4 linked regions of the Rattus norvegicus genome follow. The protein of the gene in region 1 interacts with the protein of each later gene in a biochemical or structural test. Links are inferred from orthologs where the notes say so. Each region holds a gene or a part of one and is shown in the gene's direction. Other genes may lie near its edges.

Region 1 (5,239 bases):
TATTTCACTTGCTCTGTGTTTTAGTGATGAAGAAACATCGAGACAATGAAGTGACAAGACAACAGTAGGGCCTGATCCATCAAATCCCCGGGAGAAAGGAGGGCAGTTGGTTTTAAAGTAAACACATTCTTCTATTTTAGGGCTGTTAGTGGCAACTCTTAGTCTCTGTCCAGCTCAAAACGTTTGCAGAACTACATTCGATTACTGAGGCATCTTGAAGACCAGTTTGGGATTTTGTTGCATAATAGCATCAAATTCAGAGCAGGGCTTGAGAACTGGAAATCTTGGAGAGAGTTTAAAGAGCCACAATGATTATTAACCCTGACAAGTAGTAGAAATAGGCAGATAATTATAGGATGTACTTAATAGACAGAAATATAGAGCAGTTTATAGGAAGAGAAAAAGAAAACATAAATACAAGTGAGTTTGTGGAAAAATGTGGGAATCAGTGTACACTAAAACATTAATTACCCATCCCACAGTTGCTTCCTTTTTTTTATTAAAAAAAAAAAATCTCCAAACACTGTATAGTAGATAGAGGTTATTGTGTTAAGATAAAAAGGTAAACCTCTAGATATTTACGTTTCTACTGAGGAAGCATTCCTGTCAAAACCTTCAGTGCTGGAGTAAAGTGGGAAAAAAAAAGACAATATCTCCCTCTTTATTATGCTGAATTGTGGTAAATGGCAAACGTACTGGCTCTAGCAATCATTCTCTGCACGCTCTAGTTAACTTCTAATATCCCAAATAGCCGAGCTTCTGGAGGTAGGGGTCACATTTTTACATTTTGTATTTGTTTCGGTGCTTAACTGAACACCCGGGAAACAGTTCAACATGGCTTACGGGGTAAAATAGGTCTTACAAGAGGCATAGAATTGATAATACCAACGTCTCTGACTGTCCAATACATTGAAATCTGCAGTTTTCACTTCAAGCTTAATACAGACTTTTCTCGCTAACTAGGAGCAAACCTGTTTGCAACACAATGCTTTGTGTATACAAGGTATGGTGGAAAGGATCCGAACCGCACAACCAGCTAACCGGCGAGGGTGTTCTGACCTGGCGGACAGCCCTTCCTGCCTTTATTTTTTAGCCCAAAGACAAACGCTGGGAGGCCTCCGCGGCGGGGGCGCGGCCGGCTCGCGAGCACCGAGCTCGCTCGGGCAGCAGCGGGTGCGGCTCCCGCCCACTCCGATCAGCTCGGCGCGGCCTCGGCGTCCCCCAGAGGAAAGGCTGGGCGCCGCAGTCGGCCTTGGCATCGCCCATCCCGCTCGGGCGCCGCGGATCTCGCGCCCGGGCGGGCACCGCACTGGGCACTCCAGGGGTCTCGAGACCGTAGCAGGCACCCGCAGGGCCCGCCGTCCCGTCAGCTCGGTCTTGGGTCCCGCAGGCCTCGCAGAGCGCGCTCCAGCCCCGGCCCCGCCCCTCCGGCTCGCCCCGCCTCCCGGGCAATCTCCTCGCGCTCGCCGCCCGGCACGCGCGCTGCGCCCTGCCGCCGCTCCCGCCGCCGCCGCCACCGCCGCCGCGGAGCGTTCTCCGCCGCGCCTGGCTTCCAGCTTCGGGCCGGAACCGGAAGTGTAGGGGGCGGGGCCGGCGGAGGCCAGGAGACCGAAAACGCGGCCGAGCCGGGAGCCGGGAGCCGGAGCCACAGCCTGGACCAGAACTTGGCCGCCTCCTGCGCAGCAGTCTCCGGTGGCCGTCTTCCGTCGCCGCCTCGCACCGCCACCGCCGCAAGCTCGGCTACCGTGGTCCGCGGACTTTGGGTGTCCGGGTTGAAGGTCGGTCCGGACGTCGGAGCAGCTCGGCTCCCGGACCGTCCGGGCGGCTGCGGGCGCCGCCGCCGCCGCCGCCTCGTCGCCTCAGTCAGGCGTTTTGTTCACTGAGACGCGAGAGGCGAGCGGAGCTGACAGTGATTTTGACAGTGATTCCAACCCGCTTTTGTTGTTGTTGGCTTTTCGTTGTTTGGTTTTGTGTGTTGTGCGTGTATGTGGCGGTTTTTCCCCCGTGGTACAATTTTTTAAATTGTTGTGCCTTTTTCCCCCCTTTTTTCGACCCTGTGAACGTTTTTGCTCCCCCCTCCCCCCCGCCTCGGGGCTTCCGAATATGTTTTATGACGGTTGATTTTACACCAGGAGGTTTGTCTCCGAGGAAGACCCAGGGAACTGGATATCTAGCGAGAACTTCCTACGGCTTCTCCGGCGCCTCGGGAAAATGGGAGCTGCTGCAAAGTTGGCGTTCGCCGTCTTTCTTATCTCTTGCTCTTCAGGTAGGTGGAGGAGCCGGCGCGGCGGGGCTGTGGCCGGCTGCTGTCGGCTGGGCAGTTCTGGGGCCGAGGCTTTTCCCGCGCCCAACCCCGCAGCCCTGACAATCTGGAAATCTCCACGAATTCCACTTGTTTTGGGTTGGTTTGGCGAACTGATAGGTTGAGTGCCGTGTTGTTGTGCAAGTGAGAAAGTCATGGTTTGTGGCCATAACACTCGATGACAGCGCTGGTTGGGTTGCTGTGAAGCCGCAAATACCACAAGTGAAAATTTATGTAAAGGTTTGAGACCCAGAAGGAGGTATTCCGAAATGTCATTTAGCCTAAGCTGTTCCAAAACAAGGACCGGTTTTGGTCGTCATCTAATTAGTGCTTCACCGGTGAATATCGAGACATAGATCAAGTGGGCTGGTGTTTAATTTTGACTGTGAGAAACAATGCATCCTATCTGCGATTTAATCTAGGTCTTCTCTCACGTTTTCTCCAACTTCATTGTCCAGTAGTGTTAAAAATAGTTTTAGTTGCCGAGTATTAACCATAACCCAGTGCAGGAGAGGTATGCTGGTGTGTGTTGGTGGTGTGTGTTGGCTTTCACCCACCATTTGTGTGCTCTTTTCAGGCGTAGATTCTGCTTACCTACGGAATACTTCTTTTAAATGCTTTGTACTGACACATTGTTTTCAGTTTAGAACAGGGCATGTGAAATTGTGCTCATGTTAAATGTGCTATTCTTGTGAGATGTTTTTTAGCTCAAGGTTAGGAGAATACTCTGGCCATTTTATATCCGAAAATTATGATTATATGAAGATGTTGTATGGTTGCAACCAGTGGTTGGAAAAACTAGGCTTTTGTACTTGAATTTCTGGAAATGCATACATCTAGCTGAAAGGTGTGCAAACGCACTTAACAGGAGAGTTAGTTCGAGGGATGAAACAGTTTAAAAGTCACAGTGAATACATTCATTATAAAAATTCAGTGGATACTTCCTAGGTTGTGGCAAAGAAGAGGGGTGGGGGACGAATTGACAGGTTTCATGGCTGTGTCGTTCCCTCGTATGTCACAGGGAAATTAGAAGGTGGTAGTCTTTTCTTTGTGTACCTCTCTCTGTTGTGTGTGTGTGTGTCCGTCCATCTTCCCCACCCCACCCCCCTTTTAATAGAATCTTTTGTAATGTATAGAATTTTGCTGAATGGTACATTTCCTTGTGGTTAATAAATGGATAAAGTCTAGTCTTATGTCTGTAGTGGTATTGATCAGTTCCGGGTGGGCTGAATGTGTTGTGAAATGGCGATCATTGCCAGAGATTAACCAAAAGAATCATGTCTGTTTAAATGGAAGAAGGAACATGCTTAAGGCAGGCGGACAGTTCTTTTTGTGCTTGGTTTAGAAAGCCAGCTAAACAATGGTGTCTGAAATGAATGAAAGCTTTGATAATGTTAAATATCTTGCTTTTCGGAACTGACTTAACCGTGTAGTTTTTCCCCTCATATTGCTTCCCCCCCGACCCGATATATCTTGCTGGTAAACTCCTGTTTAGGTCTCCGTTCAGGTTTCCTTTTTTTCTCATCTGCCCTTGAGGAGGAGGGGCATCATGGCCACTGACCAAGGACTGGACATTATTCTTTCTCAAACCCACCTGAGTCTCATTAATTGATGAGGGAGGTTATTCTTGAGCAGCCCCAAGGTATCACTCCTGGAAAAGCAAGCTGACACTACAGATCTTACAGCTTCCTCTGCTTGGTTTGGGAGTAAAAGGAACTGAGCAGTAGTTCCCTTTATGATTATGATCCCTGGGCTCCTAGGTTGATAGCAAAAATTTTGAGGTAGAGAAGTTCTGCTGTTGTAGAACATAGAGATAATTCATTAAAATAATTTGAAAAGCTTTAATCCATATTGATACATGAAGGTGTTTTTGTGCTTAAAATGTCTTAATTTTTTTTTTTTAAGGACTTCGTTAGGGATTAAATGCACTCTTAAAAGCCCTCCTTCCCCCGTGTGTGTGTGTGTGTGTGTGTGTGTGTGTGGTGTCTTCTAATTGATTTTTCTGTGTAATGTGTAATCTGGCACTGGAAGCAGAGGGTGGCTATTTTTATTAGAATTAAGTAATTTACTAAATTACCAGTTTGTTTCTGGGTATCTGACTTAGAAAAATCAAATGGGAAACAGTAGTAAGGAATGTGTTTATTCAAGGTGTTCAGGAAGGAGGCATGGTTGCTGGCTTTTAAATGTTTTTAGTCTTTGGCTTTTTCAGCTTCCATCCCATGGTGTGTGCTGTGGAGACTGATTATGCAGACTATTCCTGTAGGATATGGCCAAGTGTATAATTTCCTCCTTGCTCTCATTCCAGGAGAAACATTTTAAGTTTTGCCCTCATCCTGGAGTGCTTTCAGATTCCCTATGATTTTTAATTTTTATTCCTCTTTATCCTTCTTCAGAGTCTGTTTCAAAACACAGATCTGCTTTTTACTGTTTGAAGCATCATGGCTAATTTTTGTGTTTTCTCACAATTTGTAAAAATGTGAGGATGAATTTAACATTGCCCAGTACTGACATTTATCTCACCTAGGTACTATAGCTCCTATGCTATTTGAGTGGCTGTGAAGTTGAAGATTCTTTTGGATTGTGTATGAACTGGTAACAGTGTGGTCAGTATATTCATGAAAGAAGAGCAGAAATACAGTAGTTGATAGCTAGGCATCACTGTGTAGTTGGAGTGAGAGCTGATAGAACAGTCTTCTAGGACTTCTGAATGTTGGCTAGCAAGTGATATTTAGTAATGCTTTTTCTTTTGTCTATTTTTTTTTTAAAGAAGAGACTTATTCTTACTTGTCTTAATTATTTGTAGGTGTGTGTCTGCTTGTGGGTGGGCATGTGCATGTAAATGCATGAAGGACAGAGGTGTTAGATCCTCTGGAATTAGTCTTATGGAGGTGCTGGGAACTGAGCTCTGGCCCTCTAGAAGATCAGCAAATATTCTTG
Region 2 (4,467 bases), on another chromosome or scaffold:
GCTTTTGTACTGTACTTGGGAATAAACTTGTAATCTTCAAAGTCTGTTTTGCTTTGTCTTTTGCTGGGATTGCCTTTGTCTAGCGTAGGCAGGAGTTCTTTGTTATTTCTGCCTATCAGTAAAACCAGCGTGTAACCCAGGTCCTACCTTTAGTGGATTAAAGTTTATAAGTGAAAATGGAAGGAAAGTAGAATTACTTGGTAAGAGGCCGAAGATGATTGAAAGGAGCTAGTAAAAAAAAACTGGAGAAAGCGGTGCCAGTTTGAACTACATGTTGAGACTCTAAAAGAAAACTCAAACTATATAAAAAAAAACAAAAACAAAAAAACCCAAACCCAAAAGGACATAAGTTATATCTAAGCAAGCGGCCAGAGTTGCAAGCAGAACGTGGTTGTGTTGAACTCAGAGGCAGGTAGATAAAAGACAGTACAGTATTGGTTAGTGTCTGCCTTTGCAGGGGCTCCTCTGGTTCTAAAGCATGGAGAATTTATGTGGGCATATATTTCAGATATGATCAGGGTTCCTTTTGAAGATGTGCATTCACTTTAGAAACAGCCTCAAATAACTTAAAATACAACAGGCAGTATTGGTCAAAAAGCTCATCTAATCCTGAAAAACCATGTCTTTCCAGTAAGCATGGCTGTTCAGGACTTGTCATCAGTGATAAGGGATAGGACAGCAGTTCTAGAAGACAGTTTGTGTACTTGCTTCTCAGTGGAAGGGATTCGGGTTCTGTGGGCTGGATGTAATGAGGTTAAATCTAACTGGAAGAAGATGGCATTGTAGTGATTTCAAGTTAACCATCAAAAATTGATTTAAGAGGGTCCACCCTGTAAAACAGAGTTGGAATGAAGAAAGACAATGCAAGTATAAAAAGAAATACTTGGGGGATAGAAATTGAGAATGACTAGGATGTGGTTTCTTTATCTCTTAAGTCTTTAATGTCTCCTCCTGTAGATTTCACCTTTATCTGTACCTAGCATTGCAAACTTGGGCATGGAGGACAATACCCCATCTTAGGAGCGAGAGGCTAACTTAGAAGCTTTCCCAGTAATGACATTGGAACTGTGTTGACAGAATTTGGATCTGCTCTTATTGTATTAAAATGACTGATATTCTTTGTAAGTAAATGTTTCCAGAAAGAAAGCTGCTTCCTTCCTCTCCCTTTTCCTGCTCTGCAATATCCAAACTTCCTGAAGGGCCATCATTTTCATCTCACCCCTTCACTTTCCTGTTAAGAATCATATATAAGAAGGTAGAGACATTATAGAAACAGGAATTATCTACTCTACTCTGTGAGGTCCCATTAAGCCAGTAGTAAACTAAAGTCAAATGCTTCCCTATCGGAAAGTCTGTGAGTGATGCATCAGGTAGGACAGTAGTTCATTTCTTTTGGTGGAAAGTGTGTGGATTTTATAGCTTTGGGTGGTATAGATTACATCTCCAGGTAATTGTCAACTTGGATCTTTTAGCTGTGGCACATACAGTAGTCAGAGAGTTAATATTCCCCCTTCCCTTTCAGTTACCAGTGCAGAATGGACCTATAGTTCATCGAGGCGACGGAGAGCCGAGTGGAGTTCCTGTAGCTGTGGTGCTGCTGCCAGTGTTTGCCCTTACCCTGGTAGCAGTTTGGGCCTTCGTGAGATACCGAAAGCAGCTCTGAGATGCCTGTTGTCTTCCAGTGTGTCCGATGAGCTAACTATCTCTCTCACTCACCATCTCGACATCCTCCCCTAGTCTTCCTTCCCACATAGCCAACACATGATTTAAAGTGACTGCTTATCACCCGAAACCTTGCTGTTCAAAATCTCCAAGACTTCACATTCTAATGGAAGAGTAAAGAGATTATTTGAAGAAAGCTGGGGGTGGGGAGAGCCTTGCTTAGAATAAATGAGAAGTTACATATTTTACTAGAACTGCCAATAAAAATTCAGCTATCAGCCAAAGAGGAGAAGCTTGCTCTTCCTGTCTCCATGGACGACACCTTTTGCTTAGCTGGTGTGCTTTGAAGGCTAGCTGTGCTATGTGAAAGGAGGAGCTGATTTTTTAAATACTTTTTCTTGGGAAGTATTTGTGGCCTTTAATTTGTAACTATATACTTAGATGCCTATATTGGACATAGGCGAATGAATTTTTTTCTTTTCTTAGAAAAGAAAATACATATATACACTAACACACACACACACACACACACACACAGCATAAAACTGATGCCTTATGGAGAGTTAAAGAGGTGAGAAAACTACTGGTTCTTGGATTTCTAGTGGACAAGTTTTGGGAACTAGGGGGTCATATTCCTTTATATATAATCAAAACTCATATTAAAGAATGAGTTCTGGATTGTAAAGAGAACTTACTTTTTCCACTTGTCTGTAAGTCTTTGTCCACAAGTTAAAAACATACACAGTCCTAAGGGCTGATCATAACTGAAACACTTCAAAAATTATTGGCAGAGAAGGTATAACGGGGATGGAAAAGTTAGCTTTAAAAGAGAATGCTCAGTCAGTGGCATTAGGAAAATAATGACTGAAGCAATTAGTTGAAAACTGTAGAACAACTAGTGTTCCAGGGTAGCTACAGTGATGTGGGAAATTGTGGCAAAGCAGTTCTTCTCAAGTCAATTTGTTTAAAAGACTTTGGGGTGTAAAGATGAGTCCTGACAGTCTCTGAATGACCTTAGTGACTGTTGTACTATGTGAAAGGATCCATTGGCATGGAGATGAGAAGTAGGAGGGCCAAATAAACCATCAAGACAACTGAAAAAAGATCATACCTCAGGGTGGCACTTGAACCCTCAAAGTGCTCACCAACTTTCAGTTTCTAGTATCAGGCAAAGCCTAAGGGAAGGGACTGCTTTCCTGGCAGGGTGGACCCCAAATCAGCCTGCTTCTGATAGAGTTACGATGAGAAGGCCCAAATTGATGTAGGCTTTCTTTTTGTGTATTTTTCCCAAAGCTATAAGCACTAGTTTTGGTTTTAATAAGGTAATGGACCATTTTTTCAGAAAAAGGGGAAGGAATAAGGTTTGTTTGTTTATAGAGGGTGCAAGGAAGTTTAGTGAGCATTTCTGAGGAAAGCCTGAGCACACAGAGTAGATTAACTATGCCAGAGAATAGCCAGGGATATTGGGGGGTGGGGGGTAGTGGAGCTGTCCTGTTTATGTAGCATCAAAGTTGGTTTTAGAGTACTGAGGATAGTTGAACCAAGCCTAATTTTTTTTTTCACTTTAACAAAATAATTTCCGTCTTTTCAATAAATTGGCCAGACTATTTTGACCTAAGATTATAAAGAGTTTTCCTGACAACCTAGCAGTCACTTAACAGATGTCGATTGCACATTAGTTTTGTCAAGACACCTTTATAACAAAGGGAAATGCACACACTTCATCCAAAAGGACATTGTGGTTACAGTTAGGAAGAAAACACTTAAGATGGAATTATCCATGTAAGTGTAAGTTGTTTATATTACAGACAACAAAAGAAAATAGCTCCCAAGCTTTGAGCACTGAAGATCTCAGAGGAAGGACTCCTTAGGTGCCAATCGTCTAGCAAGCATGCATACATAGGGGACAAGTTAAGAGTCTTACCGGGTTGAGTAAGAAAAGGAAACTATTGCCATGCGAGACAGAGCACGATGCAGCAATGTGGAGGATGAGCAGACAGCTAGCATGTTGTAAGGAGCTCAGAACGGGAGAGCCTTCCTGCAGTGGCATCGGGGGAGAATGCAAAGGAAAGTCTTGAACAGTCCAGTGAGCCTTTGCCTCTGGATAAACTGTTGATACAGGGAGACATTTGCTTTAAACAGTCTTCACATAACCAAGCCATTCAGTACTTCTTGAAACTGACTTCATAACAGGAGTCATTGTAAGTTCCACAGAAAGCAAGACGTATGTATTTCAGTTCTTGTCTTGACCAGCAGCACTCCGGAGGCCCAGTGTCCGGTGCCCTCCTTGTATCTGAAGCAGGGGTAACAGCTCTGCTGTGGGCCTGTTTCCCTCTAGTATTTACCTCAAGGCTTGGAAATGTATTTTGAAAGACCTTCAGTCAAACGAAGTAAAGCAAATGTCAAGAAGGATAAACCACTGTTGTGTGTTGATGTGTGGTGTATTGTGATATAAATAAAAAATATCGTTGAAGTTTTACTTTGTAAAGATTCTGGTAACACTTGGGTCTCCTTGGGAAAGAAACAACACTTGACCAAAGCATTTAAGTTTTAGGCAAATTCCATAATATTTCACTCTTAGTTATAAAATTATCATACATGAGATGTTGAGGATCTATATAGATTATTCAGATTTTATATTCCTTATAGATTGACTCAAATATTCCTTAAAAGATTATATATGATGCTCCTATGGCATAAATTGTAATGTTTAATGTTTTGAAAATTGGTTATAGGTATTTTTTAAGTTCCCATAAAGTGTTTCTTGTATTTGTCATTGTGAATTATATGTAATTCTAATAGATA
Region 3 (5,208 bases), on another chromosome or scaffold:
GTTCTCCCTGGCAGTTCCTGGTTTCACCCTCCCACTCTGAGACCTCTGACCACACCTTGCCGTAGTCCATCCTGCAATGTCTTGAACTTTCTTGGCCCTCTATTCCCTCTCCTCAGGAGCCCTGACAAGCACAGAATATCACACTCCATCTTCCTCGGAGTAGGCTGCCACAATCCCAAACATTTTTAACTGTCTTCTTTCTTCACTTTGACTAACACTACTTGTGATGGAAATAGATGGGGGCCAAGCACAGGGACACGGCTTTTAAACGTTGTCTTTGGACTAACTCAAGCAGCCTTCACAGGCTAGAAGCCATCTCTGGGCATGAGATCAGTCTCAGAGCTGCCCAACTGCTCCTGTGAGTCCTAACCTCTCTGTGGGTCTCCTGACTGAGAACTCTGGTCCAGATGGCCTCCCTGCTGACATGAATCAAGTCATCCTCTGAATACCACACATACACACACACACACACACACACACACACACACACAAAACACACTTACAGACATACATACATTCTCTCACACACACACTCACACACACACTCACACACACACTCACACACACATACACATATGCACACACACACACTCACATACACACACTCACACACACATACACACACACATACACACGTACACATACGCACACATACACACTCACACACACATACACACACATACACATACGCACACACACTCACACACATACACACATACACACTCACACACATACACACACATATACACACACTCACACACACATACACATACACACATACACATACTCACACACACTCACACACACACATACACACACATACACATACACACACACACACTCACACACATACACATACGCGCACACACACTCACATTCACACACACATACACACATACACACTCACACACATACACATATACACACACTCACATACACACACATACACATACTCACACACACTCACACACACTCACACACATACTCACACACACACTCACACACACACTCACACACACATACACACTTCTACACTTGTATACTTGCATGCACCAGCACCATACAGAGCAGGGTCAGGGATGGAGCTCAGAGCCTCAGATACATGTGTTTGTGGGACTAATGAGCAGCCAGCTTCCTCCCCCAGCACAGTCAGAGCCAGCACTGGAGGGTGGCTTGAACATGACCACCCACTGTCAGGAGCTGGAAGTGGCCTACATGTAGGCAAACGCATCTTCTAAAAGGAAGCTCAAAGGGCCCAGGCCACAGCGTGGAGGAACAGTGGGAACAGGAGCTATCATCTGTTTTGCCTGTCCACAGAATGCCCTGGGCCCGTCCACACTCCATTCTCAATACTCAGGAGCTCTTCCCTCAGAGGGCAGCGCCCAGATACACTGCCGGGTCCCGTAAGGATACCGTAAGGACCAGACTTCGCCTACCCCTGATGCAATCTCCCACACCTCCCCACCTTCCTGACCCCCACAGCTCGTGTCATCTTCTGGGTACTTGGTGAGCTTTCTATATTTAGGGAACTTCCCAGCCTCATTTTCTGAATTCTTTGTTTCTGTGGTCCAGCAGAGAAGGTCTGTGTACCCTGCCTGGAGTTTTCTGAACCAAGCCAGCAAGGAAATGGACAAAGATCCTAATTAGGGTGGATGACCCTCCGGAGAAATGTCGATCCTTTACAGTAGTCAGGATCCTTCCCACCAGCCCCTGGTGCTTGTCAGATGTTTATACAGCCTTCATTAAAGAGAGCTGCCTTAGATAAGAGGTCTGAGCATAGCATCCACACCCAGATAAGTAGAGTGGGAGATTGTCGGGCTGTTGGGGAGAACTGAGCCAGCCAGGCTCCCTGCTGAGCAGTCAACAGGACAATGTGGGCCTGTTCCTCCTGGGCTCCCCATTGCACCTAGTGATACAACACAACGGCCTGCAGGGCAGTCCCCCTTTAGGGCCCAAGATGTCCCCTGGGGCCTTCCGGGTGGTCCTGCTCACGCTGCTCCTGCTGGTCTGTCCCACGCAGCAGAAGCCGCTGCAGAGCTGGGGGCAGGCATCCCCTGGGGGAAATGCCCGCAGCTCCCTGGGATTGTCTGGAAGCAGAGAGGAGGGCGTCTTTGACCTGAAGATGTTTCTGGAGAACATGAAAGTGGACTTCCTGCGCAGCCTTAACCTGAGTGGCATTCCCTCTCAGGACAAAACCAGAGCGGAGCCACCCCAGTACATGATCGACTTGTACAACAGATACACTACGGACAAGTCGTCCACGCCTGCCTCCAACATCGTGCGGAGCTTCAGCGTGGAAGGTACAGTGCTTTCCCCGGACTTCCATGGGGTGGGACATAGTGCGCCCTGCCCCCCACAGTGCAGTGGCTCTGCCGGGTGGGATGGCCACTGACCACAAGCGGATCTTCAGGTTTCTATTGAAGTGACCCTTGGTGAAATAGGGAGAAAATACGAGTTTCCTGTTCATCATTCGCGTGTGGCTAATGGCTTCCCCACAAGGCAGTGCGAATCATGGGTCCTGTCCATCAACACTAAAGGGTCCGGTGCACAGCCTGGCTCCTCCCCAGAATCATATCCACGGTTAACCCCGTATCCAGTATACCAGGTTTCTGCGTCCCTCTGTCCACTTCCTCACCTTCTTTTTCTTTCCCTGATTTTTGCTTCAGTCTCCTTCGATCTCCTTCTGTCCTCCCCCACTTCCCCTCCCTCCTCTCTCACGCCTCCTCTTCCCTCTCCTCCCTTTTCTTTCCACTTGACTTCTCTTCCTCTTCCCTTCCTATCTTCCTCTCTCCCTTCCCATCTTCTTCTGACTTAGAAATAGATCCTTCATTTAGCCTTCAATAAACTTGTATTTTTTTTCAGCTTTAAAGGAAAGGGTTCTCTCTTATAAAGTGCACTTTAGACCCAGATTTTAAAAAGTTAATAGAGTAGGACTAGAAGAGGCCCTCATTATGTCCAGGGTGTAATCTTCCTCAGGGCAGTAGGCAGTGTGTCGGTCCAATACGTTTTCCCTGCCAAGTGTCCATGATTTAGGAAGATTAGAAGGCAAACACGGAGGCGAGGTCTATAACTGGCAAGTCACAGAACAACAGAATCTGGGTAGAATGAGTTACTGAACAGAGAGCTAGGGTCACCAAGGCTGAGGAACCCAGGTCAGGCACCCACTGCGAGGTCACGTTGCCGTCCCTACATCCTGCATAAAACCAGCTCCAGTCGCCCCTTCTTCTGTTTGGCATCTTGCTCTGAAGGACCCGGAGCCCAGGTCCTTTCTCTCTTTCTTGTCCAGAGATTTGCAAATGCCCAAGGGTCCCAGTTCAGGGCCACAGCCAGGCCCGGCCAGATCTGTCCAACTTTTCTGGCTGCTCAACAGGAAGTTTCAGAGGAACATGAAACTTCCTGTTTAATGGCTTCGTTAAAAGCATATAGTTTAAGCCACTACCTAAAGACTATACATGGACTGACCCTGGACTCTGACCTCATAGGTAGCAATGAATATCCTAGTAAGAGCACCAGTGGAAGGGGAAGCCCTGGGTCCTGCTAAGACTGAACCCCCAGTGAACTAGACTGTTGGGGGGAGGGCGGCAATGGGGGGAGGGTGGGGAGGGGAACACCCATAAAGAAGGGGAGGGGGAGGGATTAGGGGGCTGTTTGCCCGGAAACCAGGAAAGGGAATAACATTCGAAATGTATATAAGAAATACTCAAGTTAATAAAAAAAAAAAAGCATATAGTTTATAGGTCACCAGGCCCCTGGGTTTGTCTAGGATCTCTACCTAGGGTAAAGGCTGGTTGTTTTTTTTTTTTGTTTGTTTGTTTTGTTTTGTTTTGTTTTTGTTTTGTAATTGGGGACCTAAGTCGTCATATCCCACAGGCCAGAATGTGAGCCCAGCCAGAGATCCCAACCCCCTCCACGTATGTCATTGACGCAATTAACTCCGTGTACTCAGTAGCAGCAACATCAACACCGTTCACGTGTGACCTAGGAAACACTCGCCTAATGCCCGTGGGTGTGTGGTTTCTGGTGTCTGGCAGTGAGTGGTTCCACAGCCACTGTGGAGGTAGCCAGAGTGAGGGCGCCATGCTTTGTCACATGCACTGGGCTTGCACGGGGTTGGAGGGGACAGAAGTGTCATCTAAGCATCAGCTGCTGGCTTGTGAGTGGCCTGCGAGCTTCATGAGCCACCTTGATAAACTGGTGAGAAGGGCCCTGTGGTGCAAGAGAGGAAACGGAGGCAACAAAAGGCTAAAAATTTCCCAAGGATACAAGTCCCCAGTGAGGGACCATCAGGTTGACCCCTCTATTCTCCAGACCAGTCGCTAGATCTCAGTAGCATGGGTCTCTGCTTATCTTTCCCCATGCAATAGACCCATCTGAGAGAGCCTAGGCCTATTTCTGAGGTTCTACTGTGTCTATTAAATGTACATCTAGAAACAAACAGCTCATAATTTCGAAGTCACTTTTGTCACGGGTATATTTTTTTAAACTTCCCATTTTCTTTACTCTCGGTTAAGCTCTGGCTGAGCCTGATTTACACACTTTGCATCAGCACGGGCGTGCGTGCACACAGAAGGAACACGGTGTGCAGGGCTTAGAACTACCTGTACCTCCGGGCATCCAGTGGTTGTATCAGAACACGTCTCCTATGGATAATGCACTGACTGAGAGTGGGCACCGACCCACAAATGGCAATGCTTGTGGTCAAGCTGCAGGCCAGGAGAAGTGAGAAGCAATTATGAGGCTGGGAGAAAACCCCCATCTTTCTGCCTAACGTGACAATGCTGTTGGCATGAAGATACATTTTTGTCTTAAAAATAAAAGCACTTTCGCTTTCGATGGTAGCTATCAACACCATTCCAACGACTTAGATACTCTAATGCTGCATGCAATGTTTCACTTTATCTAAATATTTTTTATTTTGATTTTTAATTAAATATTTGACCTTGGTGGTCCCCAGCCAGCACTGCAGAATCTTTACTCTAATCCTGACAGTGTATTTTCTGGCTTGCCTTAGGTACGGATGCCAATTAGCTGTGTGCGCTCTGACAGTCCCAGAGCTATGCATCCAATGCTGTGGATAACGATCTCCACATGTGTAACGTTGGGATGATATCTAGATGCTCCCAGACTCAGGGTGTAAGGCCAGGCTCAGTAAATGGTAGATACAGTTAACACTGGCTGAAGGTACCTGCCTCTGCTTTTCCTGGGACA
Region 4 (5,115 bases), about 88 Mb from region 1:
TGATTCAGAACCTGGTATTACCAATCTGGTCTTCCACAGAAATGTTCTGCCCATAGCTTTGGGGGTCATGTGGGCAACAAGGTGGTAGTATGTATGAAGGCTCCTGAAATGAGGGAGAAGTGGAAAGAGTTCAAAACGAATCCTGGATCAGCAGCTTTGGGGACATTCCAGCTGAGGAAGAAAAGTGGCTTAGCCACAGTCAGAGTCTTGCTTCTGGAGACCTAGTGGAGAGGGCCAGACAGAAAATTCAAAAGTCTCAAACCAGAAATGTCTTGTTACCTGCCTCTGGTGTAGGTGGGTGGGGGAGGGGAGATAAATAGCCCAAGTATGGAAGTGATTGTTTCTATAAAGAGAACTTCTATTAACTCCCATTGTCCCCTCACATGGACAGACAGACAGACACACACACACACACACACACACACAAACACTAGAGGGGACATCCACTTTACATGTGTATATCTATGTACAGAACCTGTACCCTCATTTTTATAATTTACATAAATGAATACATATATGTATATACATCTTTTATTAGATTCATTTATTTGACTATATATGCACATGGGCGCATATAAATGTATGAATATTTATAAAATGTAATAATACACTCGAATGTGTATTGGCTATTTCTTGACATTTTCTTCTCACCATTCAAAACAGAGAAGCGTTTGCTCACATCTTTGCCAACATGTCTGATAACTTCTAGGTTCTTCTTTTTAATGTGATCTTACCTAAAAACTTCAAACTCAAGTTGAATATTGGCCCAGTGGGGGAACTCAGAGGCAAGCCTACCCTGAATTTGCCCTAAACTCGGGCATCTGGGGCACGAATCCTGGTCCCGGGGGTCTGCTTTACACTCAGCCGGGACGCGACCCCTTAGCGGCCGCGCGCTCGCCCCGCCCCGCCCCGCCGCGGCCGCCCCTCAGGGCGCGCCGTCCACACCCCTGCGCGCTGCTCCCGCCCGCCCGGGGATCCCCAGCGCGCTGCGCCTCCGAGGGGGAGGTGTTCGGCCACGGCCGGGAGGGAGCCGGCAGGCGGCGTCTCCTTTAAAAGCCGCGAGCGCCGCGCCACGGCGCCTCCGTCGTCGCCGCCGGAGTCCTCGCCCTGCCGCGCAGAGCCCGGCTCGCACTGCGCCCGCCGCTGCGCTTCCCACAGCCCGCCCGGGATTGGCAGCTCGGGACGAAGCCTCCCTAGCCCACACCGGCCATCGGACGCCCTCAGGGCGAGCGACGCGAGGGTCACCCGGGGCTTCGAGGGGCCGGCACGACACCGGTTGGAGCTGCGAACTGTGCGCGCCCGGCTCTGTGGCCTCAGCTGTCCGGGAGAAGCCAGAGTCGCGGACCGACGCTAAGAGCCGGGAGTCCGGAGCACAGTCTTACCCTCAACGCTGGGCTACTCCGACACGAGAGTGAGCGCCCGAGGCGAGCAGGAAGAGTGATCGGACCCCAGGCTGCCACAAAAGACACTTGGCCCGAGGGCTCGGAGCGTGAGGTCACCCGGTTTGGCAGCCGGGGACGCGCGGCTGGACTGTCTCGAGAATGAGCCCCAGGACGCCGGGACGCCGCAGCCGTGCGGGTTCCGCTGGCGAGCGCTGATGGGGGTGCGCCAGAGTCAGGCTGAGGGATGCGGAGTGGCGGCCCGCCCGCCACCCAGATCTTCGCTGCGCCCTTGCCGGGACCCGGCGTCGCCCACGATGGCTGCCCCGAGCCATGGGTCGCGGCCCAGCTAACGCAGAACGTCCGACCCTCGCCCGGCGAGTCCCGGAGCCGGCCCCGCGCCCCGCCAGCGCTGGTCCCTGAGGAAGACGACAGCAGCAGCCTTGCCTCAGCCTTCCCTCCCCGTCCCTGCCCCGCACTCCTCCCCCTGCTTGAGGCTGTGTGTCAGCACTTGGCTGGAGACTTCTTGAACTTGTCGGGAGAGTGACTTGGGCTCCCCACTTCGCGCCGGTGTCCTCGCCCGGCGGATCCAGTCTTGCCGCCGCCTCCAGCCCGGTCACCTCTCTGTTCCTTGGCCGGCTGGGCCCACCCCAAGACACGGTTCCCTTCGGGGAGAACACCCGGAGAAGGAGGAGGTGAAGAAAGGCAACAGAAGCCCAGTCGCTGCTCCAGGTCCCTCGGACAGAGCTTTTTCCATGTGGAGACTCTCTCAATGGACGTGCCCCCTAGTGCTTCTTAGACGGACTGCGGTCTCCTAAAGGTAGAGGACACGGGCCCGGACCCAGGGCTGGCGGGTGACACCGCTTCCCGCCCGGCGGCGCTGGGCGCCTCGGAGGACCGGTGGAGTGGACGTAAACATACCCTCTCCCGGTGCACGTGCAGCGAGCGGATCCCTAGAGGGGTCAGGCACTCTGAACCCCAGATCCCTCTGTCTTGCCCACCTGGTCTGCGACCTCCTTTCAGCCCGTTCCTCCTCCCCAGTTTTAAATACATTATCAGGGCTGTTTTGGGCTTTACCCCCTCCTCCGCCCCCAAATTGCAGAAATCCATTTAGAGAGTATGGCCGGTGGATTTCACTAGTTCATTGCCCACCAGCACTCCAAGCCTTAGAGATCCTTCGCTATCCTTAAGAACTAGGTCCCATTTAGGAAGCTACTAAAAGTCGGGGTTCTTTTTGTGTGTGTTTACTGACTGTGCGGATGTGTCACAGCTTACACGTGCATTTATAGACACTATCTATTTAGGTCATTGCAGAAAGGTGCATGGATTTCTTGACTGCACAGGGGTCTGGAGAAGGGGACAGAGTGGCCTGTGGGTCAACCTTGAAGTTAGGGGCGTAGGCCACGACTTGCAAGTGGCGTCATTAGTATTAATCTTTAGTTTACCGCTTTCTGAATCTACAATCTACCAGGAAGTTCTATACGGCGCCTCTAAGGAAGTCACTTGTGCATTTGTGTCTGTTTATGTGCAAATGAACGCTGTGCAGTATAGTTGTAAGGGATGCAGTGTCCGAACAATCTATGGGTTCCCAGCTTCCTGACACAGGCTTTACTAGCTAGTGTCACAAGAAAAGGTGACAGACAGTCATTGATTTTTCTTTTTTAAATTGGGAGTTAAGACCAAGCCCCAAGTGAGAAGTCCGGCTGGGACTTAGGGGTTCTTCATCCTCTTGATCATCCAGGCTGTAGCTTGGATGACATGCCAGGAGGGCATCCTGGAGAAGGCCAGCGAGCCCTGTGGGAGCCGGGGCCGCGGGGGCGGGCGGAGGACTGGGCGGGGAACGTGGGTGACTCACGTCGGCCCTGTCCGCAGGTCGACCATGGTGGCCGGGACCCGCTGTCTTCTAGTGTTGCTGCTTCCCCAGGTCCTCCTGGGCGGCGCGGCCGGCCTCATTCCGGAGCTGGGCCGCAAGAAGTTCGCCGGGGCATCCGGCCGCCCCTTGTCCCGGCCTTCGGACGACGTCCTCAGCGAGTTTGAGTTGAGGCTGCTCAGCATGTTTGGCCTGAAGCAGAGACCCACCCCCAGCAAGGACGTCGTGGTGCCCCCCTATATGCTCGACCTGTACCGCCGGCACTCGGGCCAGCCAGGAGCGCCCGCCCCAGACCACCGGCTGGAGAGGGCAGCCAGCCGCGCCAACACCGTGCGCAGCTTCCATCACGAAGGTGAGCGGGCGGCGGGTGGCGGGGCGGGGACAGCGGGCGGAGACTCAGTGGGCAGCCCGGGCCTCCGCTAGCACAGTGGACGGTCCTTCGGCTTCTGTACCGTCCCCTCTGTGGCCCCGAGCCAGGGATTCCCCACTGGTGAGTCCGCACCCTTTTCCTGGCAGGTGGCCAGCAGACAGACTCCTCCCCACTAGAACTGGAGGGAAATCGAGTGATGGGGAAGAGGGTGAGAGACTGGCTAGCCCCTTGTCAGCTCATTGTGGGAGAATTTCACAGAAGGCAGGGAGTTGGGGCTCCTTAAATCTGTGTGGAAGCTCAGATCTGTGGCTTGTGTTCAGGCTGGAGTTTTAAGCTAGGCAGAGGTAGTATTAACAAATCAAATCCAGGGCCCCAAAGCATTCAAATTTGCTGTTCATCTGGGCCTCGTTTGAAAGATTTTTGAATCCCTATCTAATCCCCGTGGGAGATCAATTCCACAATCCATCATACTGTTTCCCCAATGACCTTCCTTTCTCCTGCTTAACTCTTAAGTCTCCAAGTGGAGACAGGTCAAGCCTTCAGATAAAAGCATTTTCTCCCACTGCCTGCTACCTTCCTAGACAAGGTAATGGAATTTTTAAAAAAATACGATATGAGTATGGTTTCCCAAGGTAGAGTAATGTTTATTTCTTCGGAAGGAGATTTAGTGGGTAAGACATGCTGTAGAGGCCTATTGAAGTCTCTTGTGCCAATGTCCTTATAGCAGTTAGTAAAAATAATAATAATAATAATAATAATAATAATAATAATAATAATAATAATCGTGCCTCAGTTCAATTCCGTGTGTGTCACTTTAAATGTGCTTTTGGTTTAATGCAATCTCAATAGGATATCAGTTCCTTCAAGTTCTAGAAGAATTCAGAGTTGTCTGTCAGTGAGCTGCAATTTATAGAACAATGGGGAGCTAGGAGAGAAGTTCCCTTTTTAAAGCTTCGCTTTGCCTTTCTTGAGAGGATACATTTTAAGTAGAAATCTATGCTCTGAAATGGCAGCCCAACCCCCATCCCCAATAAGGGATGACTCAAACTTTGAGAAGTCTGGTTGATAATAGGAAAAAGAGCCACCGGCAGGTCACATAGCAAGGGGTGTATCTTCCTTGAGGCAGCCAATGGTTATGAAGGGCACTAGAAACTGGTGTCTAAGGTTTTCTGGGGACAACGTTCAGTATTGAAAGATAGTGAGACCTTATTCTGCTCCTTAGGGTCTGCTTGCTGAGAGAGGGAGATTCCAGAATGTACACCCCCAGCCCCCGTCCCCAGGGCTAAGCTAATCTTTCTGGGTTAATATTTATTGGAAAATGTTTTGTAGATCAAAACAAACAAACAAAACCACTAGCCAGCACAGCTGTTTTTCCCACTGCCTTTGGAGATAGAGCAGGAAAACAATTTATTCGTGTATTTGTTTATTTATTAGTATTTTCTAATGTGAAAAAAATTATTCTTTACCTGTAAAAAAAAATGAACGAGTTATTTTAT

The links.
Region 2: the proteins of Acvr2a (region 1) and Synj2bp form a complex in vitro, tested with the Homo sapiens proteins (2 studies listed by BioGRID and IntAct, with this or other methods). The link is inferred for Rattus norvegicus from reciprocal best matches to the Homo sapiens genes ACVR2A and SYNJ2BP.
Region 3: the proteins of Acvr2a (region 1) and Gdf2 form a complex in vitro, tested with the Homo sapiens proteins (2 studies listed by BioGRID). The link is inferred for Rattus norvegicus from reciprocal best matches to the Homo sapiens genes ACVR2A and GDF2.
Region 4: the proteins of Acvr2a (region 1) and Bmp2 form a complex in vitro, tested with the Homo sapiens proteins (3 studies listed by BioGRID and IntAct, with this or other methods). The link is inferred for Rattus norvegicus from reciprocal best matches to the Homo sapiens genes ACVR2A and BMP2.

The regions. Positions count from the first base shown.
Region 1 is NC_086021.1:53,612,589-53,617,827, forward strand, and holds the start of Acvr2a (activin receptor type-2A precursor), read left to right. Parts: upstream 1-2,197; 5' UTR 2,198-2,211; coding exon 2,212-2,266; intron 2,267-5,239. UniProt on the Homo sapiens protein: On ligand binding, forms a receptor complex consisting of two type II and two type I transmembrane serine/threonine kinases.
Region 2 is NC_086024.1:106,923,455-106,927,921, reverse strand, and holds part of Synj2bp (synaptojanin-2-binding protein), read left to right. Parts: intron 1-1,522; coding exon 1,523-1,663; 3' UTR 1,664-4,467. UniProt on the Homo sapiens protein: Regulates endocytosis of activin type 2 receptor kinases through the Ral/RALBP1-dependent pathway and may be involved in suppression of activin-induced signal transduction.
Region 3 is NC_086034.1:9,259,839-9,265,046, forward strand, and holds the start of Gdf2 (growth/differentiation factor 2 precursor), read left to right. Parts: upstream 1-1,840; 5' UTR 1,841-1,957; coding exon 1,958-2,300; intron 2,301-5,208. UniProt on the Homo sapiens protein: Potent circulating inhibitor of angiogenesis. Signals through the type I activin receptor ACVRL1 but not other Alks. Signaling through SMAD1 in endothelial cells requires TGF-beta coreceptor endoglin/ENG.
Region 4 is NC_086021.1:141,263,569-141,268,683, forward strand, and holds the start of Bmp2 (bone morphogenetic protein 2 precursor), read left to right. Parts: upstream 1-1,955; 5' UTR 1,956-2,199; intron 2,200-3,251; 5' UTR 3,252-3,258; coding exon 3,259-3,601; intron 3,602-5,115. UniProt on the Homo sapiens protein: Growth factor of the TGF-beta superfamily that plays essential roles in many developmental processes, including cardiogenesis, neurogenesis, and osteogenesis. Induces cartilage and bone formation.